4 linked regions of the Diceros bicornis minor genome follow. The protein of the gene in region 1 purifies or fractionates together with the protein of each later gene. This does not show direct contact. Links are inferred from orthologs where the notes say so. Each region holds a gene or a part of one and is shown on either strand. Other genes may lie near its edges. The genes, in order: FOXO1, SIRT2, SKP2 and ATG7.

Region 1 (7,155 bases):
TTTTCAGATTATTATTGTCTGTGAGCAAACTGAAGAAAGGCTATTTTAGGTTGATAGCAGTACCTCCTAATAATTCAGACAAAATATTGGAAATGGGCAGTTATTGGGGAAAGGGAATGCAAAGTATTAAGTGTCATGACTGAAAAATAAGAATCCAGGCTTTTCACTTACTCATTGAATTGGACTTAAATTACCTATTTGGACAAGAATTTAAACCAGAGATCAGTGTGTTGGTGGTGAGGGGTAAATGCAGAAGTTTCTGCCTGGGAATTGATCAAAGGGAACCATCCCTCAGTCTTCCTGTCAATGATGACGCCATAATTACCCTGAAAACCAGGCAGAGGAAAGAAAACCACATTGGTTTGTGAGATGGGCTTTGTGAGGATAAATTGCCTTTTTCATTTTAATTGTCTTTACCTGACATGAAACATTTTTCTTCCTAGTTTGGCCACATGCACTAACTAATAAGTGATAATCATGAGAAAAAGCCTTCAAAGCAAACAGCTACCACAAAAAATACTGAAGAAGAAAAGAAATAAACTTTTTCTCTTAAACAGAACTAGTGCCAACCTAAATACTTTGGCATCCTTCAGAGAGAGAGAAGATGTTTACATTTTTGACTAAAAAAAACAAAACCACTTCTTTTGTAGTCTTTTTCCTTTACTTATCTTACTATCACTATCATCTTTTTGTGTCTGTTTTTTAAAATCTTTTTTTGCTTGTGAGGAAGCTTGGCCCCTGAGCTAAGATCTGTTGCCAATCTTCTTTTTGCTGAGGAAGATTAGCCCTGAGCTGACATCTGTGCCCATTTTCCTCTATTTTGTATGTGGGACACTGCCATAGCATGGCTTGATGAGCGGTGTGTAGGTCTGCGCCTGGGGTCCGAACCTGCGAACCCTGGGCTGCTGAAGCAGAGTGCATGAACTTAACCACTACGCCACTGGGCCGGCCCCTAAAGTCTTTTGAATCAAAACTTCACTCAGTTCAATGCAGTTCATCTAACTAAATTTAATAAAATCTGTGGGATTGACTAGAGAGAAAAACACCACAAAGTTTTATAGTGGTTATTGCTATATTGGCATTACAGAGTATTTATAATTTTCCATCTGTGTATTGAGAAGATTATTGATGGGAAAGCAAGAAATCAGAGCTCTAGCCTTGGCACCACCACTCTTATTTGTGTGACTTTGGGCAAATCAGTTAGCCTTTCTGTGCCTCAATGTCCGTCTCTGTAAATTAAAGGGGGCCATCAAGGTGATCTCCAAGTTCACTTTCTTTTTTTTTTTTTTTTTGTGAGGAAGTTCAGCCCTGAGCTAACATCCATGCCAATCCTCCTTTCTTTTTTTTCCCTGAGGAAGACCGGCCCTGAGCTAACATCTATTGCCAATTCTCCTCCCTTTTTTCCCTTTTTCTCCCCAAAGCCCCAGTAGATAGTCATATGTCATAGTTGCACATCCTTCTAGTCGCTGTATGTGGGACGCCACCCCAGCATGGCCAGACAAGCGGTGCATCGGTGCGCTCCCGGGATCCAAACCCGGGCTGCCAGTAGCGGAGCTCCCGCACTTAACCACTAAGCCAGGGGGCCGGCCCCCAAGTTCACTTTCGACTTGAACATTCTGTGGGTCTAGGTGAGAAGAAAGTTTAGCTTGACACAACCCTTATGGAGGGCGATTTGGCAGTGTCTCTCAAAATTACAAATGCGTTTAACTTGCTGACCCAGTGATCTCTCTTCCGGAAATTCCTCCTATAGAGATACTTGCACAGATGCAAAATGAGTTTTTCAGAAGGTTACTCATTACAGAATAGTTTGTGATAGCCAGAGACTGGAAAGAAGCCAAATGTTCACTAGCACCCTGCGGTTCAGTAAATTGATACATACAACGGTATGGTAAGCAGTTATAAACCCCCTTTAACATATATTTTTAATTCTTTTTTGAACTATGTGTCAGGGACATGGGCACTGTAGATACTCTATGCCTGCTTCAAGTCAAATAAAAAAAAAAAAAAAGCAAAGCAAACTATGATATTTAAAGAGACAATTAGGCAGGATAGCCCAGAAGATTTTAAGGATCTGGGGAAAGTCTGTAAGAATAATCCCTTAACCAATACTCTCCGCAGATTGAGGCCCTGAAAAACCGGAATTGAAATGAAGGCAAGCCAAATTTGCAGCTGGCTTCCCTTGCCAGGAATGATCCACTAGGGCACCGCCTATTTGAAGGGTGCGGCCGTCTGAATCCGGACCGCCTCTGCAGAGCGTAATTGGAAAGGTTGAGGGTAGCAACACTTCTACGTTACGGCCTTCCTTTGAGCTCATCATCTGGGTTACTGAGGTCCTCTAGCGGCTGGAAGAGGAGGCCCGATCTGTCCAAATGTGATAGTAAACGCAAAGAGACCACAAGAGGAGGAGGGTGGGAACCAGCCCTATCCTCAATCCATCGGGCTCACGACCCCCACCCCACACATCCCCAATATCAGTAGGAAGCTGTTGTGATAAGTGGATTATGAAGAATTAGGGGTCTGGACTAAGGCAATGATAGTAAGAATGTAAAGGAAGAAATAAATCTCGAAGTCTTTTCAAACTTTTGTACAAGAGGCCTATTTTCTTTAGATGCCACTTTTTCAATGGAAGAATTACCTATAAGAAAGAGAGGGGATTTTTTTAGAATTGGGAGCTGTCATTTTGGACAAGATATTTGCAACCCTACTGTCAATCTTCCATCCTAAGTGATCCCATCCCTCTGACAGGAAATGCCTTCCATATTCCTCCTAAAAATGCAAAAGCAAAACAAAACAAAACTTGAAAACCGTTTCTTCTACTCCCTGAGACACAAGGGCCATTGTCTGTCTACCTTTGGCCCCACTGATCTCGACAGGACGTCCTGGAGCTGGAGCCCAGATGGGGAAAGGTGGGGTGGGGGTGGGGGTTGATTGACGCACGCGGCGAGCAGCCTAAAGGAACTTGGGGGTGGGGCAGGGCTGCCTCCCAAGGCTTCGGTCCAGTCTCCTCTAGAGTTTTTACTTCTCAACACCTCATCATTTCTAAATAGCAAAGAAATTACAAGCAAACAGTTAAACTTAAGTATTGGTAAGTAATAAAGTGACAAGGTTCTCGCTAAATGCTCTCCTCTAACCCCTTCCCCGCCGCCCCTGGACTGACGCGGGGACAGTCTGCGGTTCCCGCCCAGGAGAAGAGGTTCCCACAGACAGCATGAGGTCTAGGATGCCTTTGGGTCTGTGTGCGCCTGTGAAATAGGACTGTCTTCTTCGCGCCGAGCCCCTTTACCTCATTTCTAGCCTTTTAGGTCAAGAAGACAGTGAACCCGGCTGGGGGCTGCTGGGCTGGAAGACTGGCCCCGGGCTAGAGCAAGCGGCAGAGGCTCGGCTCGGGGGTGCGGACAGGTGGGTTCCGGGCGCGGAGGCGGCGGGCAGGGCGCCCTCCCGGCGGACTTGACCGCCAGGGCCCCGGCGCCGGGGGCGTGTGCGGCCCGCGCGGGGGCCGGAGGACTTGACAGATCGCAGAGAAAGAAAACAAAAAACAAAAACAAACCCCTCGACTTCCCCACGTTTCTCCGCAAAGAAATCGTGGGTGGAGCCGACATGGGGTAATTGAGAAGAATTCCGCGAGGCCGCCTCCGTCCGCCCACCCAGCGCCCCCGGAGCCCAGAGCGACCCCGGCCCCCGCCCCAGCCCGCTCTGCGCCCAAGCGGAGGTCGAGGCGACGCCAGCGACTCATTCCACTCGGGCTCCCCGAGTACTCGGCTTTGCTCTTCCGTAGTAAACAAAGTGTCGCCACCGCCTCCACGCTGGTTTGCCTCCTAGCGATCAAAACAGTGAGAGGGCGAGAGACTCACAGAAACACTTGAGAATTACCAGAAAATAATAACAGAGATCCGAAAAAAAAAAAGAGAGAGAGAGCGTGAAAGAGAAAAACACCCCACTACCCCCCACCAACCCACTGCCGCCTCCTGGTGGAAAACAGGCCCCCGCCCAGGTGGTCGTCCATTGGCTGCTCGGGCCGCGGTGCCACGCGCTAATTGGCCGCAAGAGCTGTCAGTCAGGGGCGGGCCGGCGCGCGCGCCGCCGCGGGCGGGGGGCGGCGGCAGATCCCGTAAGCCGCCCGCCGCGTAGTCGCTGCAGCCGCAGCCGCCGCCGCCACATTCAACAGGCAGCAGCGCGGCGGTCGTGCCGCCGGAGAGAGCTAGCGGCCCGTGGCGTCTGTTCGTCCTTCCGTTCGTGGGACCTGTCAGCAGGAGCGCGGCGCCGCTGCTGCCCGGCCTGGCGACTCTGGCCTGCTGTCCCGTCTGTGAAGCGGACCTGAAGGATCCTCGATTTTGATGGACCCGCGAAGTTAAGTTCTGGGCTCGCGCTTCCACTCTGCTGCGCCTTCCTCCCGGTTTCCGTCCGCTCGCGGCACCGACCTCGCCCCCCCAAATCTTGGACCGGCTCTTCGCGCCCCCTCCCCTTGGCCCCCGGGGCTGCGCTCTACCCCTTCTTGGCTCTCCCGCGGCTGGGGGAGGGGCGGGGGTCACCATGGCCGAAGCGCCCCAGGTGGTGGAGATCGACCCGGACTTCGAGCCGCTGCCTCGGCCGCGCTCGTGCACCTGGCCACTGCCCAGGCCGGAGTTTAGCCAGTCCAACTCGGCCACATCCAGCCCGGCGCCGTCGGGCGGCGCGGCCGCGAACCCCGACGCCGCCGCGGGCCTGCCGTCGGCCTCGGCCGCCGCTGTCAACGCCGACTTCATGAGCAACCTGAGCCTGCTGGAGGACAGCGGGGACTTCCAGCAGGCGCCCGGCTCCGTGGCGGCGGCGGCGGCGGCGGCAGCGGTGGCGGCGGCGGCGGCGGCGGCTGCCGCCACCGGGGGACTGTGCGGGGACTTCCAGGGCCCGGAGGCAGGCTGCCTGCACCCGGCGCCGCCGCAGCCCCCGCCACCCGGGCCGCTGTCGCAGCACCCACCAGTGCCCCCCGCCGCCGCCGGGCCGCTCGCGGGGCAGGCGCGCAAGAGCAGCTCGTCCCGCCGCAACGCGTGGGGCAACCTGTCGTATGCCGACCTCATCACCAAGGCCATCGAGAGTTCGGCCGAGAAGCGGCTCACGCTGTCGCAGATTTACGAGTGGATGGTCAAGAGCGTGCCCTATTTCAAAGATAAGGGCGACAGCAACAGCTCGGCGGGCTGGAAGGTGAGTGGCCTCGGGGCGGACGGCCAGACCGGGGGGACGTGCGGGACCCTTGGCTCTGGCCGAGGTCGCGGTGGGGCAGCCGAGGGGTGGCTGTGCAAGTTTGCTTGATCTCAAAGAGCGGCGCACGCGGGCAGCGCGTGCAGGGAGCGGGCGAGAAGTGGCCGATGTGGGTGGTGGGCTTGCCCGGACCCGTCGGGGGACAGGAATAAGTGTGTGCGCACGCTCGCTCCCGTGCGAGTTGGAGCGGGAAGGGGCTCATGTGGGAACTAAGAGTAAAAAAACCACGCCAAGAAGTGGACATCAGAACGGGCAGAAAAGTTCGCCAGGGGAAGGAGAAGGGGGTTCACTGGGAGCTGCGCCCCCACGGCCCGCGCGGACTCCTGCCGGTGCGCCTTTTCCTCCAGGACCTCGGGGTGAGGGCGGCTCCTTCGTCCCCGGGGCGCGCGTCCCCTCGTCTCCTCGGCCGTGGGCCTCGCCGGGAGTCGTTTCCGCCGCGCCGGGCGGGGGAGCGCGCGGCGAAGGGCATCGGAGCCTCGCCGCTGGGGACGGGGCTGCAGGTGGAGGGGACAGGCAGGGCGCCAGCCGGCCCGTAGGGCTGGTCGCGCAGTTTTGGTGTGCATTTTGCTTTGTTTTGATTTTATCCGAAGTGAGCTGGAGTGCAGGGGGCCGGGCGCGCAGAGCCCGAGGTACCCCGTCCGACCCGTGCGAAGGGGCGGCCACAGCCTGCGCAGCGCCGGCGCCCGGCGGCGCTGGGCGAGCTCAAGTTCAAGTGTGACTCTCGGCGTGGGCGTGGGCGGGAGCTGGCGACGGCGAGGGAGGGGCCGGGGCGCAGGAAGCGAGCGCCGTTAAAGGGCCAGCGCGCCCCGGCCGTGCGCGGCTCAGCCAGGCCAGCGCTTCTTTGCGCGGGGAAGTGCCCCCAGACTTGGCCTTGCCCACCGTGCGAGGCCTTTAATTAAGCACCGGCAGGCTCCCCTGCGTGACCAGGGCTGGGGCTGTGTGTACCTTCTCTCTCGTTTTGCCACCTCAGTGTTATCGAGCACGGAGGTACAGATCCGAGGGGTAAGGCAGGGGGATTTGTGACAAGTGTTTGGGGAGAGTCGGAGTGGAAGTGCGCATCAAGGGGACCGGCAGGGACCTCCTGCCTCGGTGGGGGCCTCTAGATGAGGCGCCTCTGGCTCTTCGCGTTTCAGAGAGAGACCAGGAGAGACTCACCGTGAGGACAGGCACATCCCTACCCCGAGGTAGAGAAGGCCCCGGGGCCCCAGGAGCACGGGCTCTGGGGAGGCTTCTTGGGGGTCCATTTGCGGTGCGGCTTCCTGAAGCTGACAGCTTCTTACCGTCACAGGTGGAGGGATGTATGTGAAGGTTCCCTAGTTGAGCCAGACTCCTCCCTCACTCTTCGTCCTGACTGTAGAGCGTAATAAAGACTGATCTTGGCTGCGCAGTTATTACACTAAAGTTGTTTTACATACACTGTCATTCCTGTGGTTAATGTGTGTCCAAAAGGTTAAGTTACTCATGTTGTGTTGAAGTTCCTGGAGAAGGAGCTGGGATTTTATTTTTTTCAAAGTGTGTTTTAGACTAAAGGCATCACTTCCAGACTCATTACTAGGCATTACATGCAATTTTCCAAGTGTTACAGCAGGTAAAGTGTCTCCTTACTTTAAGCTCCGTGTGTAGTCTTTTAAGTCACACAATTAGAATTGTCCGCCAGATCCGATTTGACTTAACATTTGAATTGAAGTGCTTGCCTTACTTGCTCATCTGTCAGTCTTACTTGAACTGTTAATAAAGCATTTGCTGTTAAAAGAAAAAATCCTTTTTTTTTTTTGGCATTCAAAGTACAGTGTGTACTTACACCATTCTTTTACGTCCTTGGAAATGGATACAACCTACTTCAGCTTGCTGGAGTGCCTTTCTTTAAAGATAGAGAAAGGCAAAGTTTGGGGATTATTTTTAGTTTTGTCTCTCAAGTGG
Region 2 (6,926 bases), on another chromosome or scaffold:
CCGCCATAATGTGTCCCCTCCCAGGGCTCCAGCTGGTCTAGCCCGTCCTCTCCCACCAGGGGCCCTAGGCTCTCAGCTTCGGTCTCTCCGGTCTACTCTGCTACCCTCCTCGTGATGGCCTGTCCGGGTCAGCCCGCTCGCCTCCACTGCAAAGACCCTTCCCTTTGGCTTCTCCGGTCTAATCATCTGATCATGAACAGCCAGAGTCTACCACGATATCGGCTCCACGAAGGCAGGGATGTTGCGTGTTCACCCCTGGACGTCCAGCACAAGAACAGGGTCTGGCACCTGGCAGGAGCTCCAGAACTATCCATCACTGAACAAATACCTGCTGTGTGCTGGGCCAGGGCTGGGCCCTGCAACAGACCTCATAAAAACACAATTCTGACCAACTCACTCTCCTGCTTAAACCCCTCCTACAACCCTCTCCCCCATTACTCCCTCTCAGGTTCCAAGCCTTTTAGTATAGGAACCTCCTTTCTAAACATATTTAAATTGTTTTATTGCTTTTTAAGATTATATAAACTTTGCAAAAACTCTGACCATTAGACAATGTATAACTTGGGCACTTGCCTGGTAATTCTCTCACCCACCCCGGCGAGATAACAACTGCTATTAGCAGTACAATCATTACTCCAGATTTTTTCTCTGCATAGAAACCTCACTATTTTTCCAGAAATGGGTCATACCATAGTACGATGCTGCACCCTGCATTTTCCTTGGAACAATACACTATAGACCCACCTCCTTCTTTTAAGCAGCTACAGAGTTGCATTGTAAGGATGCACCATAGTTCATTTCACCCGTCTACTGACAGCCATTCCGGCTGTTTCTAGTTTCGCCCTGTCACAGACAATGCTGCAATTTACATCCTGAATCTCTCTCTTTGGGACTGAGGATTCCTTTTTAACATGCAACCTTTTTCTCTGACAGTAGTCCGGCTTGGGGAGCCAGAGGGAGAAGCCCCGGCCTGATGGAGGCTCTTATACTCTCTTGCAGGCAGCTGTGGGGTGCTCTAGTCACAGCTCTGCTCTGTCCCCCATCTGAACAGCAGCCTCGCGTCTGTGGGTGGGCTGGCACTCTTTCAGGCTGCAGACAGTGAGGCTCTGTGGAAGGACTCGAGGGCCCTGCCCAGCACGTGGGGGCAACTTGGCTTAGGGGGAGCTGGAGGTGCTGGCGGGGCCTTCGAGCCTCTGTGAGGCGGCCTATCTACCTCTCCCCAAAGCATCTGGAAGGCACTGTGTGTGTCAAGTGCTGTGGGTTGCAAACAGAGGACAAGAGGCTTGACAACTCTGCCTCAAATTCCTCATCTATAAAATGGCCACGATAGATCTTGCCACGCACAGGGATGCTGGGAAGATGAAATGCGATGATGCATATAGAACACTAAGCAGAGCACCTGGTTGGAGTAAGTACCCATGAATATAAGTAGCTGACCACCCCAGCCACCGACTACTGAACACATCACCCTCTTTCACGCCCCTCCAGCCTTTGCACAGGCTGGACCCTCTGCGTGGAACATCACTTCTCATCTTGCCTAAGGAAACACTAAGGCACTCTTCACTTACTATGATGTGTCTGTACCTCAGTCTGACTCCTAGACCAGCCTGTGGATTCCTCCAGGGAAGGGACTGGCTGGAATCTCTGTGACCCCACAAAGTTGCCTCTGGGCTCCCACAGTGCCCTGAGCTACTTTCATAATCGCCCTGTAGGGTCATTTTCTAGTCATTTGTCCATGAGATCCATGAGTTCAGGGACCAGATGGGATACGTGTCTCTTCCAGCAATGACACAAATGAGGTTCAGAAAGGTTGGCGGAGGTGGGGAGGTGGGGGAGGGATCTGGGGAGAGGGCCTGGGGTTGAGGCTGCACGACCTTCTCTGACAGTCCCCAGAATCCACCATTCCCCAGGAGGCTGACCGGGGAGGTGGGGTGAGGGATTGGGGCAGCGAGCTGAGGGCCCTGGGATAACTGTCTCCCCTCTGTCACCTCCCCCAGGGGAGTGGGGTGTGGGAACAAGCACATCTCTCTCCTTCCCTCCACCCTTTCCCCATCTCACCTGAGCTTCCTGCACCTTCCCTGCCTGGGTCTCCAGAGGGTCAGAGGCTGGGGGAGGAGGGGGAGTAGATGTGGTTACAGTGGGGGGAATGGTTAGGGGGAATGAAGGGCTTCAAAGTAGGGGAGCAGGGGGCAAGAAGACTCACCAACCTAGTTATACTGGGGTGGGGGCAGTGGTAGTAAAAACGGAGTAGAGGGAGGGAGGGGATGGGGAAAAGCAGATCTTATTTGAGTGGAGAGGGCTGGGGGGAGAGGCGGTTAGTGAGGGACAGAGGCTGGGACGGGAAAGTTTAGGAGAAGGAGGAGAAAGTAAAGCATATAGGGCATGGAGGAAGACAGGAGGAGGTAGGGAGGACATAATAGTATGCGAGTGTGTGCGCGGAGAGGGTCAGGTTTACAGGCAGAGGGAAGTTTAGAAAGTAAGAGAAGATGAGAGATACTCTGACTGGAGGCAGGTTTGGAGAGGAGGCGTGGTGGGAATGGTAGGTTTAGGAGAGGCACAGGAACTAGAGGGAAGAGACAGGAGGGGATATAGGGGTCCCCTAGCTTCCTACAGCTCCCTCCATCAACCAGATACCCTTAGCAACCGGGACCGCGGCAACCTAAGTCCTTAGAAACGAAGGTCCTTAGCGACCAAGGTGCGAGAAACACGCAATCATGGGTAACTTGGGGGACGTGGCAAACGGACCCTTAAAACCTCGCGACCCAGAAACCCACCGACCTAGCAATACGGATCACTTAGCAACGGCCCGCCGAGTCCCACTCGCCCCCCTACGCAGCCCCTATCTGCTGCCCCATCAAGCCCACCCTCGGGCCCCGGGGCCTGCAGCCCTCAGCCAGGCCCCGGCGCGGCCCGACCCTCCCACCGGGGCCCCCGACTCACGGTCCGGCTCGGCCATGGACGCGGGGCGGGAGCCCTAGGAGCTGTCACCGACTGCTCTGTCCCGTGACGGCACCGGAAACAGGAGGGACAGACATAGGGCAGAGAACTACAACTCCCAGCAGCCATCGCGGCCGCAAACAAGCTTTCGCAGCCTCTCAGGTAATGAAGACTCCCGAGGGCCAGACTACGAGTTCCAGAGTGCCCCGCGCCAGCAGCCATGTTGGTAAAGGGCGCCCGGAAAATGTGGGAATGGGTAGAGAGCCGCAGTCCATCTGAATACTCTGATTGGTCACAGTGTGGTACGGGGGTGGGGCATGTGCTATTTAGCCCACGCTGATTGGGTGAGTCAGGGGGCGGGTTGGGGAATTCCCCGCAGGGCGGAAGCGCCAGACATCCAGGCAAAGCCCAGCGACGGGCGGGCGGCCGCTGGGGGCCCCTGAGGCTTCGGGGGCCATGGCCGGGGTCGCGTGCTTGGGGAAAGCCTCGGACGCCGACGAATGGTGCGACAGCGGCCTGGGCTCTCTGGGTCCGGATGCGGCGGCCCCCGGAGGACCGGGGCTGGGCGCGGAGCTGGGCCCAGGGCTGTCGTGGGCGCCCCTCGTCTTCGGATACGTCACTGAGGATGGGGACACGTGAGTGAACCTTAGGTTGCCTAACCGGGCCCTAGGATCCGACATCTGATTCCCTGTTAGTTTCTGATCCCGGCTTCCCAACCTCTCATCCTAAATCTGACTTCTGATGCTTGACTTCCTGATCTCTAACCCCCAAGTCCTAACCTTTAATAAGACCAATTTCCTCTCCAGCTTTGATCCTAATCCAATAATTTCTGACCGTTCTTTCTTGAACTCAGGTTCTCAGATTTCCACATCCCTATCCATTGATCTCAAAAGTCAATTTAACCTTCCTGACCCCAGTCCGGAGACCTTTGTTAGAACTGTAGCTAAGGCAGGCCCTTCCTGACCTCTAATCTCCAAATATGATCGTTGATCCTTAGCTCTTGATTTATGAGCCTTTTTCTTTGATTTCCCAATTAATACTTGGCCTTTGACTCTAAGATCCCACCTTCTGAGCACTAGTTTTCAAATCTTACATTCAAAGAGAAAATATAGGCTCTGTGACAGCAGGGATTCATCTGTTAAACAAATATTTATCAAACGCTGCCATGTTCTAGGCCCTGTTTGAGGTGCTGGTAATAAGGCAAGAGAAGAAAACAGACAAAAACATATGCCCTGTGGAGCATACATTCTAGTGGAGGTATGTGGACAGCCAGACAGACTGACAGACAGACAAGAAGGAAGGGAGGAAAAAGAAAGAGAGAGAGAAAGAGAGAGAGAGAAGAAAAGAAAGAGAAAGAAAGGGAGAGAGAGAGAAAGAGAGAATGAAAGGGAGACAGAAGGAAAGACAGACAGACAAGACATGGAGGAAGGCACAAAGAAAGAAAGAGAAAAGAAGCGAAAGACGGGAAGAAACTAAGACAGAAAGAAATGAAAGAAGAAAAAGAGAGAAAAGTGGTATGTTAGAAAGCAGTAAGTTCTTTGGACAAAAATAAAGCGGGAAAATGAGACAAGTAGATTGTCTGGGGAGAAGAGCAGTCCAGGGAGAAGGAACAACAGTTGTAAAAGCCGAGGGGGGGTTGTCCCTGGGTTTGTGTGTTGTGTTTTCTCCTGTCTCCCCATAGGAGCACTCAGTAAACATTGATCTTCTCAAAGAACCAGCTTTGGTTTCATTACTTTTCTCTATTTTTTTTTTCTTTCTATTTCATTGATCTCTGTTCTGACTTGCATTATTTCCTTTCTTCTGCTTACTTTGGGTTTAATTTGTTCTTCTCTTCCTAGTTTCTTAAGGTGGAAACTGAGGTTGTTGATTTGAGACCTTTCTTCTTTTCTAATCAAGGTGTCGTGTGCTGTAAATTTCCCTGAGTACTGCTTTAGCACTATCTCACAAGTTCTGATATGTGTGTTTTTCTTTTCTTTTTTTTTTTTTTTTTTGTGAGGATATCAGCCCTGTGCTAACATCTGCCAATCCTCCTTTTTTTTTTGCTGAGGAAGACTGGCCCTGGGCCAACATCCGTGCCCATCTTCCTCCACTTTTTATGTGGGACACCGCCACAGCATGGCTTGCCAAGCAGTGCGTCAGTGTGCGCCCGGGATCCGAACCAGCACACCCCAGGCCGCCGCTGCGGAGCCCACGCACTTAACCACTTGCGCCACTGGGCAGGCCCCTGTGTGTCTTTATTTTCATTTCAATTCATTTAATTCAGTATAATTTCTAATTTCTTTTTGAGTTCTTCTTCGGCCGGTGGATTATTTAGAAGCATGTTATTTAGTTTCCAGATATCTGGGAGTCTTTCTAAATATCTTTCTTTTATTGATTTTTAATTTAGTTCCATTGTGGATGAGAACATACTTTGTATGACTTGAATCCTTTTAAATTTATTGAGACTTGTTTTATGGCTCAGAATGTTGTGTGTACACTTCAAAAGAAAGTGTATTCTGCTATTGGTAGTGTAGTGTTCTTTACATGTCAGTTAGAGGTTGTGTTGGTTATAGCATTGTTCAAGTCTATATCCTTGCTGTTGAGTTTGTCTCTTTGTTATATCAGTTGTTGAGAGAGAGGTATTGAAATCTGAAACAATAATTGTGGATTTGTCTATTTCTCCTTTTTGCTCCATGTAATTTGATGCTCTGTTATTAGAGGCACAAATGTTTAGGATTATTATGTCCTCTTGATTAATTGATTTCTTTATCATTATGATATAACCTTCTCTATCCCTGCTAATATTCCTTGCTCTGAAATCTACTTTGTCTGATCAGAAAATACTCCTGCTTTCTTTTGAGTGACTCGTGTTAGCCTGGTATATCGTTTTCCACCCTTTTATTTTTAACCTTTTTTTTTTTTTTTTTTTTGGTGAGGACGATCAGCCCTGAGCTAACATCCATGCCAATCCTCCTCTTTTTGCTGAGGAAGACTGACCCTGGGCTAACATCTGTGCCCATCTTCCTCCACTTTATATGGGACGCCGCCACAGCATGGCCTGACACGCAGTGCATCGGTGCACGCCCGGGATCCGAACCCTGGCTGCCAGCAGCGGAGCGCATGCATTTAACTGCTACGCCACGGGACCGGCCCCCTTAACCTATTTTTTAATATTTATATTTAAAGAATGTTTCTTGTAGGCAGCATAGAGTTGAGTTTTACTTTTTAAGTCAACCTGACAATTTCTGCCTTTTAATTGGAGTGTTTAGGCCGTTTACATTTAATTTAATTATTGATACGGTTATGTTTAAGTTTATCAGCTTGTTATTAGTTTTATACTTATGTCTTCCTTGTTTCTCTTTTCCTCTTTTTCTGCCTTCTTTGTGAAGGAGTAAATATTGTTCCATTGTATTTCTTTTGTTGGCTTCTCAGCTTTAACTGTTTGTTTTGTTATTTTTAGTGGTTGCTTTGAAAGACAAGGGTTGGCACACTATGGCCTCCAGGCAAAATCCAGCCAGCCACCTGCTTCTGTATGGCCGTGAGCTAAGAAAGGTTTTTACATTTTTAAATGGTTGAAAAAAAATAAAAAGGAGAATATTTTGTGGCAAGTGAAAACTATGTAAAATTCTAACTTCAGACTCCATAAATAAAGTTCATTTGGAATAGAGCCACATTCACTTACATATTGACGATGGCTGCTTTTGCATGACAACAGCAGAGCTGAGTAGGTGCAAGAGAGACCATATGATCCACAAAGTCTAAAATGTTTGCCTGGCCCTTGACAGAAAAAGTTTGCTGACTCCTGCTCTGGGATAGTACAGCTTTAACTTATTATGGGCTACCTTCAAGTGATGTTGTGCCACTTCACCTAGAGTAAAAGAACCTTAGAATAGTATATTTCCATTTGTCCCCTCCTGGCCTTTGTGTATATGTAAAATGTCATACATTTTACTTATACATATGTTATAAACTCCACCATATGTTGTTATTATTTTTGCTTAAACAGTCAA
Region 3 (7,957 bases), on another chromosome or scaffold:
ATTATATGCTGAACTGTAACCATGTGCAGCTGTGCAAAAAAACTACTGAAGGGCAAAAGGGGAAATAGGCCTCTGAGCACAACAATGGTCCTTCTAATAATATTCTTTAAATATTAAAATAATGTGTTTAGGCTAAATGGAAAACAAGAAGAATATACTAAAATTTGAGGCAAATCAAAATTCAGTTCCATGTGATAAGAAATGAAAAAGAGACTTAAAGCTGTCATGGGTTGGCATTAACACCACAGCAGCAAAAGTAGATTTTACTCAAAATCAAAATGCCAATTCTTTCATTCAATCGAATTTTAACATCTAATATGCGGACATAGTCTACCTCTCAAAATACCAGTTCTGAAAGTCCTAAACACTTAAAATCCAATTCAGTGTTCTACCAATAATCAATATATTATACAATATTACCTTCAAATTCCTTTCATAATTAGCTTGTTAATGATACTGACTTGGAGTACTGTTTCCTGAGGGAAAGAGAGACAGGAAGGAAGGAAGAATTCATAATAAATGAACAGGAAAACACACACAAAAATTTTGTTAAAACCAAAGATCCTGAAACTGAATGAAAAATTTGACTGTCAGTCAGACTATCTGACTAAAACCTAATGATTCATCAGACTCAGATTATGTTAACTTAAACATGTATCTTTACTCAGATACATAAAGTAACAAAAACTAGGAGACAACTCAAGATCCTGCTAATGAAAAATCAAAAGAATCTGAACTAGACGTGAGTGATGAAAGTCAACAATTCTCTACCACCAATCAAAATATAAATCTTCCGAAGATAGTCATTATTCTTATGTTTAAAGACTCCAGGGATAGAGAGAATTCAGCTTAGGATGTAGACAGAATACCAGAAGAGAATATTGCTCCCACTCTAAAAATGGGAAAAAGTCATATTTCTTGAAGCTATCTTCAAAAAATAAGCTGAGGTGGCAAACCAACCAGGTGAACTGAATTCCAAAGCATGATAAGCCATTTGGAAGATAGACAAATATCAACTGTTTCACCTTTGCCAAGGTATGAGAGAGGAGGTAGCAACCATGTAAGCAGGTAAGAAGAAAACAACCGGATTTGTAATGAATTCTGGTATAGACATTGTAAGACTTATTTTGGAAACTGTAGAATACTCTGAGTCCTTCCTAATAACAAAATAATTTTTTAAAAAGGAATAGCTATCATTTAGCGTGAGTTTACTAAATTCCAACCATTGTGCTAGCACTTAACACACTTTGTTGAATTAGACCTCACAACCCAGTAAGAAAGGAGTGTTAGTATCCTTGTTTAATAGCAGAGAAAACGGCACAGAGAGGGTAAGTAATTTGTCCACGTTCCCACAGATGGTGAGTGGCAAAGCTGGGATTCAAACCGAGGCATCCTGACTACAGAGCCTGGCTCACAATTAGGATACTACACGGTCTCTTCCCCAGTCCAAACATACTTTTTTAATGCAATTTAAATTATTTAAATCATTTTTGTTCAGTTTTCATAGTGAACAAATTAGAAATTCTCCTATTATTCCTTTAGATATATGAAGATAGAATGCTAAGAAAGTCATGTTTAATATAGAATTTAACTAAGCCTTTTTACCTTGCAAGTAATACTGCCATTACTAAGGGTAATATATAACTCTAATCTACATGGGAAAAGTAAAAAGAGCAAATTAGAACTGGGGAAGAACCCTTCTGTTCTTGCCCTAATCTGTCCATCAGAGAGAGCACTAAACTGCAGAGAACTAAAGGTCTACTTTAAAATTAATCAAGGGAAAATAACTCTTTTGAAATCTGATTGGCAGATAGAAACTTCTTGCTATGTAATTGTTCTTAGTCTTTTGTTCCCCTAAGCTAAATAACACAGAAAAAAAAAAAGAAAAGAATTTTAAGATTTACTTCATGCTATGATTCAGGAAGTAAAGAAAAAGCACATCACCCTTCTATTTAAATAGAATCTCTTTTGTTTTACTGATTTTCAAAAAGATCACTAATATACTACTGTATATATATGGCTTATATATACATATATATATATTTGACTATAGCTTATAGTCAAATATCATTTCCAGGCCTTTTTGGCCCCTCCTGTGCCCTTGTAACTATGCTTTTGCCCCTTTGTATAACTTTCTCAATTTACAAAGTCACTTAGTATTCTATCTGAAGCTTCCAATGAGTACTAGAAATAACTCATCCCACAGTCATTTGCAGATATTAAAAAAAAAAAACTATAATTCATTTGTTGTAGATACTGATCTAGTAATTCTACTTCTAGAACTATGGTATACCTCTTTTACTAAAATGGGACATGGGGTGTGCTAAGATCAAACAAATGAAATTAATCAGGAAAATAAAAAAAATCCACATCAGTAGCAATCACGATGCAGTTCCTGAAGAGACCAGGCAGCAATCTCTAGTGACCTAGTAATCTCAAGTCTTCAATGGACACAATTCCTTACATTAAACAGAACCACATATACCAAATTAAACTTTTATTTACTATATTAGGAGAACAGCCATGATTAGAAGGAATGCAGAAAAAAATTATGCCCATATTAGCAAGCTACAGCGTTTCTCTTGTGAGTGCAAAGTGTTAGTCAAATATCTATTCTAGTATTAGAAGACTTCGATTTGCAGAGTTGAAAGGCTCTCTCTGAAGTCCTACAGAGGATCTGGTGTCCACCAATTCAGATACTGCAAGTATTCTGTGAACTAGAAATGTTCCCTAGCTCTCAAGCAACTACTAGCTAAGTCCCAGACTGAACAGGATACTTCTCATCTTTAAATTTAGAATCATCCCATCTCTTAGACCTTCTATCTATGAGATCTGTATCTAAAGTGGCCTTGCCAAATTACTTTATATCTCAAAACTTTGTTTATTCTCATCATGGCATTTTAAATACTTTTTTCCTTGTTTATTCTTTCTCCTCCCTTACTTACAAGCTTCCTCTGTCTTGTTCACTTTCCTGAAGGAGACTATAACTTTTATTGCTAAAAATACCTTCTCTAGTGGCTGGCCCCATGGCATAGTGGTTAAGTTCCAGGTTAAGCTCCAATTCAGTGGCCTGGGGTTCGTGGGTTCAGATCCCAGGCGCGGACCTACATCACTCACGAAAGCCATGCTGTGGCCATGACCCACATACAAAATAGAGCCAGACTGCCACAGATGTTAGGTCTGGGCCAATCTTTCTCAAGCAGAAAGAGGAGGACTGGCAACAGGTGTTAGCTCAGGGCCAATCTTCCTCACCAAAAAAAATATATGTATATATTTTCTCTAATGAGTTGCAATTTTAAGGGAAAAGATGTAGATTTCAAAGGAAGGCCACTGCTTTCTCCTTAGCCAAAGTAACATAAAACTGACTTTATGTAAAAAATCAGAATACTGCATTTAAAAATATTTTCCATACACTATTAGTTTAATGGTTTGTGAACATTCTACATAGTATTCTTTACCTAGTTTCAACCAAAATCACTTTGTGACCAGATCCCCTTTTTACACCAATTCCACCTACTTTCAAGAACAACTTGAAGCTTCATGAATACTTTCCTCTCTTAAGAAGTGGTTACTTTTCAAGCTAAGCACCAACCTTGAAACAAGCACAGACGTGGGCAAAGGAGGTTTAATTCATGTTTTTTAAAGAAATGAATCCTTTTTTTAAAACAACTAAGAATCACTTCTTTAAATAAAGTGTGTCACACAGCATAGTGACCTACTATTTTTGAGATGAGGCTGGCCTGCTTGCTTCTGAACTTTTTAAATCCTCTCCATTTTCCTTAGGGTCGGAATTTATTCCCCTTCCCTCTTCCACTGTTCTCCCGGGTTCACAGTTAACAGTACAGTTTGCACAACGGATTTCGCATGGTCATCCTACCTGGAATATGGCACGCTCCCTACTCTAAGCGCCCCCCAACTCTTCTCCGCAGAGATAGGCTAAAAGCAGCTGTCTTGACGGCGGCGACGCAACCCCAGACACAACCGGTTGAGCAAGCGCAGCCGAATGGCTTTGCTGGTGGCTCGCAGCGTTGCATTGTCAAGCCCTTTGCAAACATATAGTCACCTGATTTGTTCCCACGCTAGCCCTTATAAGACTAGTCAAGGCTGCCAGGGGATGCGCAGCTTTCCCACTGCACACAGGAGCCACTATGGTCTCCTGCTCCCCTAAAACTAAACCACCGCCTCTCGTTCGAACTGCGCTTTAGTTTACAAAACGCGTTATCTTATCCGCCCCTCTTTCCAAGCCTGGGAGACGAGCGTCGTCGTTGCAGTGCCTAGTTTACAGGTGAGCAAAGGATCCTGCCCACAGACCCGGTCCTAAGGGCCGCCCTCTCCTCCGTGGAGGAGGCAGCTTCCTGGGAGAGGGGAGAACAGCTGTGACGCCCCGGGCTCGCAGCCTCTCACCTGGCCGGTGGGCCGGGCTACCGCCTCCACTCAGCTTCCGGGAACGTGGGCCCCGCGGCGGCGGCCAACCGGGGTCTCCAGGGTCCTCTCGATGTCCGTCTGCGCGCGGCCCCAGACCCAAAGCGCCTCACGCTCTCTCCCTCAGGCCCACCGTCCGATCTCGCCAGACAGCGTCTGGAAGGCCCAGGAAACTCCGCGTCCGCCACAGCCGTCCAGGGTCTGGGACCCACGCGCCGAGGCGACAGCGGTGGCGGTCACCAGAAGGCCTGCGGGTTCGCGGGAAAGGAAAACCCGGCCCCAGTCAAGCAGCTGACATTTCTCAGTCAGCCGAAGCACCGCCCACTTCCGCTTCCCCGCCTACTCCGTGGGCTCTGCAGCCCCTCAGCCGCGGGGGGTTGTGGGTATCGCGAGGGCGGGCAAAGCTGCAAGGAAAGAGAGTAGTGGCGAGCCAGGCGGACTACGGGGCAGGGCAGAAACTACAATTCCCAGCAGGCAGGGGGCCGCAGACGGCGGCTGCGGAGGAGAGCGGGCAGAAGAGCTCTGCGCGCGCGGCGGGGATGGAACGTTGCTAGAGTTCGCGGGTCTTGCTGCTGCACGCTGCAGCAGCACGCTGTGAGCCGCCGCGCGCCAAAGCGGGAATCCGGGAGGCGGGCAGCTCTGCAGTCAATGCACGCATTTAAAACTCCCGAACCTGTAGACGCCATGCACAGGTAAACTGATTGCAAAATGGGGCAGAACATGAATGGACCTTCTTAATTCATTTAGGCCGCGGATATTGCTACTTGCAATATTGTTACTAATGCTGCAATGCGAATGATTGCTTAGCCGCTTCTTTGGGAAAGCGCGAATGGATGGAAGCTTTAGTGCGGTGATCAGCGTGCGGTTTTATTAGGCTCCCCTTATTGGGCTTCCCTGCTACTGTTTTCAATCACTGTGTGATTGCCCTCTTTCTTTCCTTGTCTGTTCTCTCGACTTTAAGAAATTCTTGAGGCCTTCTGCATGATCGTAAATCAAAGAGCCTTTTCGATTTGTTTGGTTATTTTCTCTTTCATTCTTGGGAACTCGCTACCATCACGTAAAAAATGCAATTCTGTTAGCTATTGTGAAAGTTTTCTACAATGCGTAACTGGCAATTCCGTTTAGGCCTACCTTGGAATTATTTACGGGTGTGTTGTAGAAAGAAGCGGGGTGGCTATTGTGCATCTTTGCAGGAAACACCTCCAGGAGATTCCCGACCAGAGTAGCAACGTTACCACCAGTTTCACGTGGGGATGGGATTCTAGCAAGACTTGTGAACTGCTGTCAGGCATGGGGGTCTCCGCCCTGGAGAAGGAGGAGGTGGATAGTGAGAACATCCCCCAGGAACTGCTCTCAAACCTGAGTCATCCGCAGAGCCCGCCACGAAAACGGCTGAAGAGCAAAGGGAATGACAAGGACTTTGTGATCGTTCGCAGACCTAAGCTAAATCGAGATAACTTTCCAGGTAATGTATGAGGGTAAAACTGTCAATCACCCAAAGGGTGTGTTGAACTAGTTTGTTGTGCAAAATGGAGATTTGTTCAGGGATCTTTAGAATGGGGCCCTTTTAAAATTGCCTAATTCTAAAGCTATTTTCCAAAGAAATGAGACAACTCATTGTCGTTGAAGTCTACAGGAATATTGGTAGGAACATATCTTCTAATGCACAATTGACTTTTGATCCATGTGAAATTTTAACCCATGAGAAGACATTCCTGCCTTTTTCCTTAGAAGGGAATCTGCCTGCTCAAAAGCCAGCTCAGTGCCACTGATAAATGGGAACATAAGCAAAGATCTTCTTGTAGGATTCTTTTTGTTTATATTCTGCTGCTCTATAGCCCTGGTTGAGCTTTTTGCTATAATCACTTTAGTTATTTGTCTAAGAACTGCTAAAGTGAAAGTTAAACACAAGTGGAGGAGACTTATCTCCCCAAGTACACTCTCAAATGGGCTTCCTCTGGCATGCCCTGTCTCCATTACTGCCAGCATTAAACCCAACCCAACCCAACAATCTGAGGGTCACTCAGATTCCCACCATCCCCTGACATCCAGCCAATCATTGAATCTTTCCCTCTTGTCTCAGAAATATTCTCAAGCTTTCATCATCTCTTGCCTGAACTATTGGAATGGACTCAGAATTCTAGCCTTATCCTCCCCAGATCCATCCCCAGAGTTAGAGTGGACTGGTTGAAATGTAGAACTCACTATATCATTCCCCTCTTAATAGCTCCCCATTCCCAGTCTTCTCGGCAGGTGAGAGAGTGCCTCCCAGAGTGTCTCCCAGAGAACCCCAAGAGTACTCAGTCATAGGGTAAACATAGTGCATTGACCTGGGGTTATCAGTTTTTCTTGCTAGTAAGTCATTTAAAACACTAATTCAGCAAATATTTGCTGACAACATGCTATGTGCTAGGCATTGTTCTAGGTGCTGGGGATACAGCAGTGAGCAAAACATAAACATTCCTATGCTCGTGCAGCTTCTGTTCTAGAGAGAGGACACAATAAACATAATAAATATGGTAGGTAGTATGTTAGAAGGTGATAAGTGCTATAGCTAAAAACAAAAATAGAACAAGCCAAGAGAGATTGGAAGGACTAGAGTGGGAAGATGGATTGCAATTTTGAGCAGGGTATTGAAGGAAAGCTTCACTTAGACAGTGAGCTTTAAGCACAGGCATAAAGGAGGTGAGGGACTGTGCTATGCAAATACCTTGGAGAAGAGAGCAGCAAGCAGAGGGACCAGCCAGTGCAAAGACCCTGGGGCAGAAGCGTGTCATGTTTGTTGAAGGAACAACAGGCAAGCCATACTCCCAGAGTGGAGGGAGGGAAGGGAGAGTAGTGGGAGATCAGGCTAGAGGTGGTGGTGAGCAGAGTTGTGATGTGACCTTTTAAAAGGACACATTCATGTGTTGAGATTAAAATGTAGAGGGTTGAAGGTAGAAGTTTAGAGACTTGTTAAGAGGTATGGGCTTGGTGATAAACTGGTCAGATTCTGGATAGATTCTGACATTAGAGTCAACAGAATTAGGAGGCTATTGAAAGTGTCTGAGTAGAGGTGATAAGTCTAAACTGAAATTGGGTGGGCAATGGAGAAAAAGAGATTAAAGAAATAAAGATGAAGTCTTGCAGATCCAACATAAATAAGTATATTCCTAAATTCTTCCCATTTGGCTTCTTTTGCAGAAGCGTTGATTGGTTGGTTGGTTGCTTGCTTTGCTTTAAAAAAATCTGGGGTTTTTTTGGTTTTTGACCTTTTCATTAGGAAAAAGAACCTTCAAGTTATGGTCTGGGAATCTGCATCAGGAGTTGGTTAATTAAAAAGGCAGCGAAGGATTGTGGTGAATTCAGACAAATCTGGGTTTGAATCACTATTCTGCTGTTTATCAACATTGGCAAGTTATTTGAGTTCTGTGTGCCTTAGTTTCTTTGTGAAATGGAGTGATAATACTCACTTCATGGGCTGCTGTGAAGATTAGATGACAGAGCACACGTAAAGCTCTTAGCGTGCTGCCTGGCACATAACACTCAATACGTA
Region 4 (7,258 bases), on another chromosome or scaffold:
TTGATCAGAGACCTGGATTTGAGTCTGACAAAAACAAGAAACTGTCAATATAAATTGTCAGAGCATAAAGAACAAGGTCCATGCATTACTGTATACAGTGTTTACAGTGCTTTCAGACCATGCATTACTGTATACAGTGTTTACAGTGCTTTCAGAGTGTCTGGTACACAGTGGGGACTCACATGTAGTTTTCAAACATACTGAGCATATACCATGTGCCAGGCTTCGTGCTTTACCACCATTATCTAATTTAACCTCTACAACAACCTCATGAGGAAGATTGCTGTGTTGTTACAAACAGGCAAATGGAAGCACAGAGAGGTTAAGGACCGGCTCCAAAATCTGATTCTGGAATACATTTCTTTTCCACAGTATCTACCTGCTCTTCCTACTCCTATATGATTGATTGAATTAATTCTTGAATTTATAAAAGGCAATAGACCATGGTCCGGAAATAACTCAGCCTCAGCCCATTCAGGAAAGAATCAGTGGCCAGTGGCTTGCACAAAATCTAGCTGAAACCAGGCTCTCTGCCCGAAATATTAAAATAAATACCTTCTAGGAGAAGGCTGTCATAGAAACCTTGATTGTAGATAAGAACTTGCAGACTCAGAAGCTCCTTCGAGTTTCTTTTTATGGGCTTAAAGTTAATTAGCTTAAAGCCAATTCCTCGAATGACCAATTTGCCAAATTTATCAAATGTTGGCATCTTTTTAACTATTTACAGGGTTTACAATGACACATATTGGATGAGGCTTTTAAGAACAGTTTTCTACAATTGTTGTGAAGTTATAGCAACTGATTTTCGTTTTTCTTCATAGCCACATATTGAAGAAGGTCAATTTGTCTTTGTCCCCAGCTTGCTGCTACTGCAGGGAGAGACTGAGTTGTAGACAGGGGAGAAATAGAGGTGAAGAGACTGAGGATGAGAGAAGGAAGGATAAGGGGTAGAAAGAAGAGGAAACTAGGGGAGGTGGGGGGAGACAGAGGGTCAGAGATGATGGACTAGGAGGAAGAGATGGGGTCACCAAAGGACAGAAGAGGGAGAGGGCAAAATGGATGTGCACAAGGACAGAGATGGGGAAATACTAAGGGGCAGATGGACACTAAGAGCCAGAGAGACGGAGACATTTAGTGAGAGAAAAAGGGAGACACTGAGAGGGAGACATAGGGAGAAACTGAGGAATGAGAAAGAAGATAGAAAAGTAGAAGTGGAGAGTCAGAGACAAAAAGATAATAGACCGAGTGGCATAATATTAATACACTTAAGAAAAATCTACATTCAAGAACATATTTTTCATTAATGTAGTCATAAGTTAAATATATTCAAAGGAAGAATAAACCATCCTTAGCTTTTGATAAATAGAAAATTCTTTCAAATGCTTCTCTGAAGACGACGTGAAAACCAGTCAACTACTGCATCACATAAATCTTTAGAAGCTCATGAAGCCATTCCATCCAATAGAAATTGTTGTAAACCTTAGAAGTTGGTGACATTTGCAAAGTGTTCATTCAGAAAATCTACAAGTCTGCAGGTTGGCCATTTGATGAAGTGATCATTTGGCTACTTGGCTTGCAGAAAATTGTTGATCTCTCTTTTGAAGAAGAGCCCTCCAGGAGGTAGATTTAATAGTCTTAACACAGGGTGAAAAAGATGCTGGGGCTCTCCTGGCTGCAACACACTCTAAGTGCTGTAAAGAAACAACGCTGTTAAGATCTCATTTGCCAACGTGTCATTCCACGATTTCTTGGGCTTTCAAAGCGTAGGTGGCATGGCATATGGTTCCCATTGTAGGGAGTCTGTGCTCTCAACTGAGCTGCAAGGCAAGTGATAAAAGTGGGTTGACCTGAATCATTGTGGTCTTGAATAAGTGTCAAGGGCCTCATTGTCCTGCTGCATCTGAGAACATTCTCTGCCTTTTTATGGCTCCTGGTCTTGCATCTTTCTTGATGCTTCATCATCTTGGTGCCCCAAGGGTCTGTATCCCCCATCCTGGGCAGCAGGGGCAGGTCTTCTGCTCCAAGCCTCCCTAATTCCTGCTAACAAGGAGGCCACATTTGTGACCTGAGTCACCATCTATTTTGGCTGCCCAGACCTCATCTCTTAATTTAACAGATACTTTTTGAACACTTCTTGGGCCAATTCTTGAGCCAGGCACTAGGAGACCATGGAGAACAAGATGACATGGTTTCAACCCTATGGAGCTACTTCAGGGTTGGAAGTGATGGAAACCAGCTTTGTGAATGGCTGCTGGGGTGTTTTGTGAAATCCAATAACGTTTTAGATGACCTCACCTCAGGAAGAGCTTGAGCCAAGTCAGCCACAGGAACCTCAACGGTCAGAATTTGAGGAAGTTCCCTATAGAATATTGCCATTGACCAATATGAATTATTCCTGTTCCTATTTTCTATGAGCATCAGTTCTCAAGTCCAAAGCTCAGGGTAAAGAATCATCCTGTGTCCATTTCTGCTGCAGTCAACTCTGAAGAGAGGTGGGAGGCCAGGTGGCACATGTAGGAGAACCAGCAGTTCCCAGAGAAGGGGGAATCCTTGTGAGCTCGGCAGAGTGAGCTCGGCAGAAACTCCACAAGGTATTAAATTAAGGATCTCGAAGTCCAGCAGGGGAAACAAGGTTAAAAAGAACTAACTTCAACCTAGCCTCATATAACCTTAATAGAGTGAAGCCTGGAGGTAGGTGGGTGTCAGGCATGCCTTCACATAGGAGGTGACCCCTCTACTGGGTTTTTTAAAAATCAAACTTATTACATTAAATATATACAGTAAAATGCACTCATTTTAAATATAGAGTTTGATGAGTTTTGACAAATGTGTACAAATGTCATACCCATCTCAATCACGATATAGAACGTTTCCATCACGCCAGAAAGTTCCTCATGTCCCTTTGCAGACAATGCTCCCTTTATGCCTCAGGCAACCACTGATCTGACTTCTATCACTATGTTAGTTTTGCTGATTCTAGAACTTTACATAAGTGGAATCATATAATATGTACTCTTTTTTCTATCAACATTTCAACTGGATTTTGAAGATGGGGAAAGGGTTACACAAGCAGAGGAAGGGTGAGGGTAGCAGAGATGGAGCCGGCATACCACCCCTCCTGAGAACAGGCTGGCCTCAAAGTAAAACATCCTATGATTTACTACTGTCCAATCAAGCCACGCTTTCTTCTCACTTTCCCACCGGAGTTCTTTCTTGCCTTCACTCTTCCCTACGGAAGAAAAACTCTTTTTGCCTAACCCTGGAGACACTTGCAGATCTTTTGGTCAGAGTCTCCCTATTGCAAGATTCCCTCCCCCACCCATTGCAATAGTCCCCGCCCTCTCCTTCCCCACTGCTTATAACAATCCTTTCGAATAAAGTATCTCCTCAGTAAGTCAAACAGGCTTCTGTTAGACTCCTGGCCCAAAAGCTCTTTAACCTTCAGCAAGCGCCTTAACCTTTCCTAGTCTCCGCTCTTTCATATGTAAAATGGGAATAATATAACATCTACCTTGCAGGCCCTTTGTGGCGATTACAGATGTGAAAACCTGAAAACATTGTAGATAATAAATAGTAGTCATTACTCTTGTTATTGTAAGTCTATAGAGCTACGTCAGAGGCGCTTTGTGAATGGCCTTATATGTCAGATTAAGTTTACACTCACTATTGTATCAACACTTCTCCAATGCCTGGTACAGAGTATATGCTCAATAAATAATTTAGAATGAATAACTTTATCTCATTGACAGCAGGAAGCTATGAGAATAATGTCTGGTTTACAAAGAGCAAGTCGGTCAGTGTCGACTTTCATCGACCTTTACCTATTAAAATTCTCATCTCCTGTGTCTCCATACCTGCCTTCCTCGTGGTCCCCGTGATTCGTTTGATACTGCCTCTCCTGGAAAATGGAAATAATGATAATTCCTGTCATCCTCTAAAATCAAAAGAAAGAACGTGGAGCACTTTTTGAAAAGTCTCACGGGCACATATACACAATCCCACATCTGATAAACGGGAGAAAGTCTCTGTGCCTCGGCTCGCTCCAGGGGGTCCTCGCCCACCTCCTGATGTCCCGCCTTCCCCACGCCTCAAGTTCCGCCCCCTCAGCCTGGTGCTAGGGGCTCCTTTACCAGGCTGGCCCGAGGCTCTGTGTGCGCACGCGCACCGTCCTCTCGCCCCGGCAGGCGGGGGCGGGGCCGCGTTGCGTCATCGGGGCGCGCGCTGCGGATGACTGTGTGGTTGCCGGAAGTTGAGCGGCGGTAAGTGAGCCGCAGCGGTGAGGGAGGCGCGGGCTGCTTCGGTGTGGCTTTTGGAGGCCTGGCGGGAAAAGGCGAGCTCGGCGATGAGGGCGAGGGTCGCGGCGGGTCTCAGGATCCTCCTCTGCCCGTGCCTGGGCTGTCTGTCTCCAGGGAGTCGCTGACTGCGGCTCTCGCCCTCGTCCAGTCACGTTCCCTCAGACTGGTTCAGCCGGGGTGCTCGGACAGGACGCTGCTGTCCTGTCTCTGGCGGGGAGTGCCCCGAATCTCCGTTGTTGGAGCCCTGGAGACAGACGCCTGGGTTCTGGTCCTGGCTTTGCCTGCCACGGTCTGCTGTGTGGCTGTGGCGCATCCCTCCCCTTGCTGAGCCTCTCTTCCCTCATCTGTGATGTGGGAGTGATAACACGTCATTGGTGAGGCGAGGAGGTTCAGTTAAGGCAGCTCGAAGGGCTTTTCTGATCCAAGGTGCTCGATTTCTTGGTTTGGTCCGGATGCTACAGACTTGAATGCTTGATCAGTCAGGTTAGGTAAATGTGGGTGTAAGAAAATTTTATGTCAGTCAAACTTATTTTTACTGAATTGAGTTTTATGAGCGCAATACTAACATATTGAAGAAATGAACCCAGAACTTCAGTGTGTGTGTGTGCGTGCGGGCACGTGCAATCCCTTGATTTTTAAACACTAATGACTAATGATTTTTTAAAAAGCATTGGCAAGTGATAGAAAACATTTTTTTAAATTGCGCCTGTAACCAGGCGTATCTGTGGCTGCCAGTTTGGGGCCTCTGGATCCCAGGCTCCCTTTCCCACTGAATACTTGGATTTCTTTTGTGGCACCCCCGCTCGCTGGTTAAATTTCTTCAGTGACAGAAAGCTCACTACTTTTGGCCTTACTCCTGTTTGGTCTGCCCCCAGCTCTGACTCATAACAAGTCGTATGCAGAGCTGAAAGCGGTTCCCTAGTGATCTCAGCTGGTTGTCCCTCTTTCAGGCTCTTGGGCTCTCCCTTCACGGAATTGCCCCGCACATCTTTGAAAGCTGCTAGTTTGTCTTCCTCTTCCCACCTTTTCTTTTCCAGGCTAAGCATATTTAATTTATTTAGCCACAGTAAACTCCACATAACTGAGAATTTTGACTTGTTTTATTTGTAGTTGTATCCCTGGCGTATAGAACAGTGCCTGACATATTATATATGCTCAGTAAATATTTGCTGAATGAGTGAATAAAGCAAATATTTGAGTGCCTGTTATGTGCCGGGCATTATTGTAAGCACCAGTGATGTAGTGGTAAAATAAGGCAAAAAAACAGCCCTGTTTCATGGACCCTACTTTTGATGGTAGTGGTGGCGACTGTTGTGATTGTCAATAAATACGATACTTTTAATGGTTGGCAGGTGTTTCAGATCCTGATGGATGCTACGAAAAAAAGAAATGGTAACAGCGTGGAGAGTAACTGAGGGGAAGCAGAGGGAGCTCTTTTTAAAGCTAGCTGATCAGGGATGACTTCTCTGAGGAGGTGACGTTTGATCTAACACCGGAATGAAGAAAAAGCCATACTTGTGAAGGCTCATCTTGCCTAATTGTTCCCCCATCCCCCACCTCTGTGCTCTAGTCTTGTTAAACTGCCTACAGGCTGTGTCTCACCTACAGTCCTTTGTTTCTGCTGCCTAGAACATCTCCCTTCCCCCTCTTTTCTTGGCCAGCTCCTCCCTGCCCCTCATGTGACATGGTTTAGAAACCCTTTAAAGAGCTGAGAACTGGGCTTGCATTCAACCACAAGGTCCCTTTTTTCTTCCCAGCCAGCTTCTCGTAATAGAGAATAAGCATAAATATTTATTGAGCTTTTGCTCTGTGCCTGGCACTGCTCTGCAAGTGGAAACATGAAAGTGAGTAAGATACACATCCATGTCCTCAAGGAGTTTACTTTTTTTTAAGTCAAGGAGGTAGACAACAGCACTATGGTATGAAGCTGTTGTTGAAGTTTGCTGGAGAAGGACTTAGCATGCTCAGGCTAAGTCAGGCTGAGGCATCAGAGAAGGCTTCTGTGAGGAGATGTTGCTTTATCCAAGTCCTAAAGGATGAGCAGGATTAATCAGGTGAAGAGGGATGGGAGGTGGGATGATTTTGCAGACATTGGGAGGGGTGCAAGCAAATGGCTGTGGGTGAGAATGCGTGACCTGCAGGTAGTTGCCCCGAGTTAGAGTGGAGTGTAGGATAAGGGTGGCTGGAAAGGTAAGCAGGAGCCAGATCACGAAGGGCCTTGTGGGCAGTTGCATGTTAAGAACACAGACTTTGGAATCTAAGATACCTGTGTATCAACACTGGTTTTGCTGCTGAACTAGTTTTGTGACCTTGGGCAAGTCGCTTCCTTTCTAAGCTTCTATTTACTCATCTGTAAAAGGGAAATATAGCCTACCTCCCAAGGTTGCTGTGAGAATTGAATGAGATGATATCTCTTACCCACTTGGCACTGGTAGATGGTAAACTCTAAACTGTAGCAGTTAGTATTGCCATGCTAAGAAATTTGGAGTTTATTTTGAAAGCACAGGGCTGGAGAGTGGGGCACTGAAGAATTTTGAACAGGGGTGTGACATCCTCTCATCTGTTTTAAATTACCCAGGCAGCAATGTGGTGATTACACTGAATAGGGCAGGACCAGCAGGGAGACCAGTCAGGGCGCTGTTGCAGTGGTCCAGGTCACATGGGAGAGAGGCCTGAACCAAGGCAGTGGCTGTGGGGATGGGGAGGGGTGGGTGGAGTTGAGAGATAAAGGAAGAAGGATTTACTGGACTGGTAACTGATTGGATGGCAAGGAGAGGAGGGAGCCAGGAATCAGGATATTGAGGCGGGGGGAGGGGATGAATCCTCTGTGGAAATAAGTAATAACCAAGTTCTTCGCTTAGTGGTCCCTGGTTGGTTATGCCTGACCACCTGTGAGATTTTATTTGGAAGTCCAATTTACCCAAGTTCACTAATGGCTTCCTCCTCTCCTCTTTCTGTCTCCT

The links.
Region 2: the proteins of FOXO1 (region 1) and SIRT2 purify together in Homo sapiens (affinity purification with western blotting; 3 studies listed by BioGRID). This does not show direct contact. The link is inferred for Diceros bicornis minor from reciprocal best matches to the Homo sapiens genes FOXO1 and SIRT2.
Region 3: the proteins of FOXO1 (region 1) and SKP2 purify together in Homo sapiens (affinity purification with western blotting; 4 studies listed by BioGRID). This does not show direct contact. The link is inferred for Diceros bicornis minor from reciprocal best matches to the Homo sapiens genes FOXO1 and SKP2.
Region 4: the proteins of FOXO1 (region 1) and ATG7 purify together in Homo sapiens (affinity purification with western blotting; 4 studies listed by BioGRID). This does not show direct contact. The link is inferred for Diceros bicornis minor from reciprocal best matches to the Homo sapiens genes FOXO1 and ATG7.

The regions. Positions count from the first base shown.
Region 1 is NC_080748.1:24,852,852-24,860,006, reverse strand, and holds the start of FOXO1 (forkhead box protein O1), read left to right. Parts: upstream 1-4,143; 5' UTR 4,144-4,530; coding exon 4,531-5,178; intron 5,179-7,155. UniProt on the Homo sapiens protein: Transcription factor that is the main target of insulin signaling and regulates metabolic homeostasis in response to oxidative stress.
Region 2 is NC_080773.1:13,005,579-13,012,504, forward strand, and holds the start of SIRT2 (NAD-dependent protein deacetylase sirtuin-2), read right to left. Parts: upstream 3,016-6,926; 5' UTR 2,957-3,015; coding exon 2,941-2,956; intron 2,106-2,940; coding exon 2,059-2,105; intron 1-2,058. Other genes in the region: NFKBIB (NF-kappa-B inhibitor beta), read left to right, coding at 3,394-3,572. UniProt on the Homo sapiens protein: NAD-dependent protein deacetylase, which deacetylates internal lysines on histone and alpha-tubulin as well as many other proteins such as key transcription factors.
Region 3 is NC_080759.1:32,941,692-32,949,648, reverse strand, and holds the start of SKP2 (S-phase kinase-associated protein 2), read left to right. Parts: upstream 1-4,945; 5' UTR 4,946-5,070; coding exon 5,071-5,114; intron 5,115-5,615; coding exon 5,616-5,887; intron 5,888-7,957. UniProt on the Homo sapiens protein: Substrate recognition component of a SCF (SKP1-CUL1-F-box protein) E3 ubiquitin-protein ligase complex which mediates the ubiquitination and subsequent proteasomal degradation of target proteins involved in cell cycle progression, signal transduction and transcription.
Region 4 is NC_080741.1:83,968,151-83,975,408, forward strand, and holds the start of ATG7 (ubiquitin-like modifier-activating enzyme ATG7), read left to right. Parts: upstream 1-4,237; 5' UTR 4,238-4,259; intron 4,260-4,303; exon of another isoform or gene 4,304-6,349; intron 6,350-7,258. UniProt on the Homo sapiens protein: E1-like activating enzyme involved in the 2 ubiquitin-like systems required for cytoplasm to vacuole transport (Cvt) and autophagy.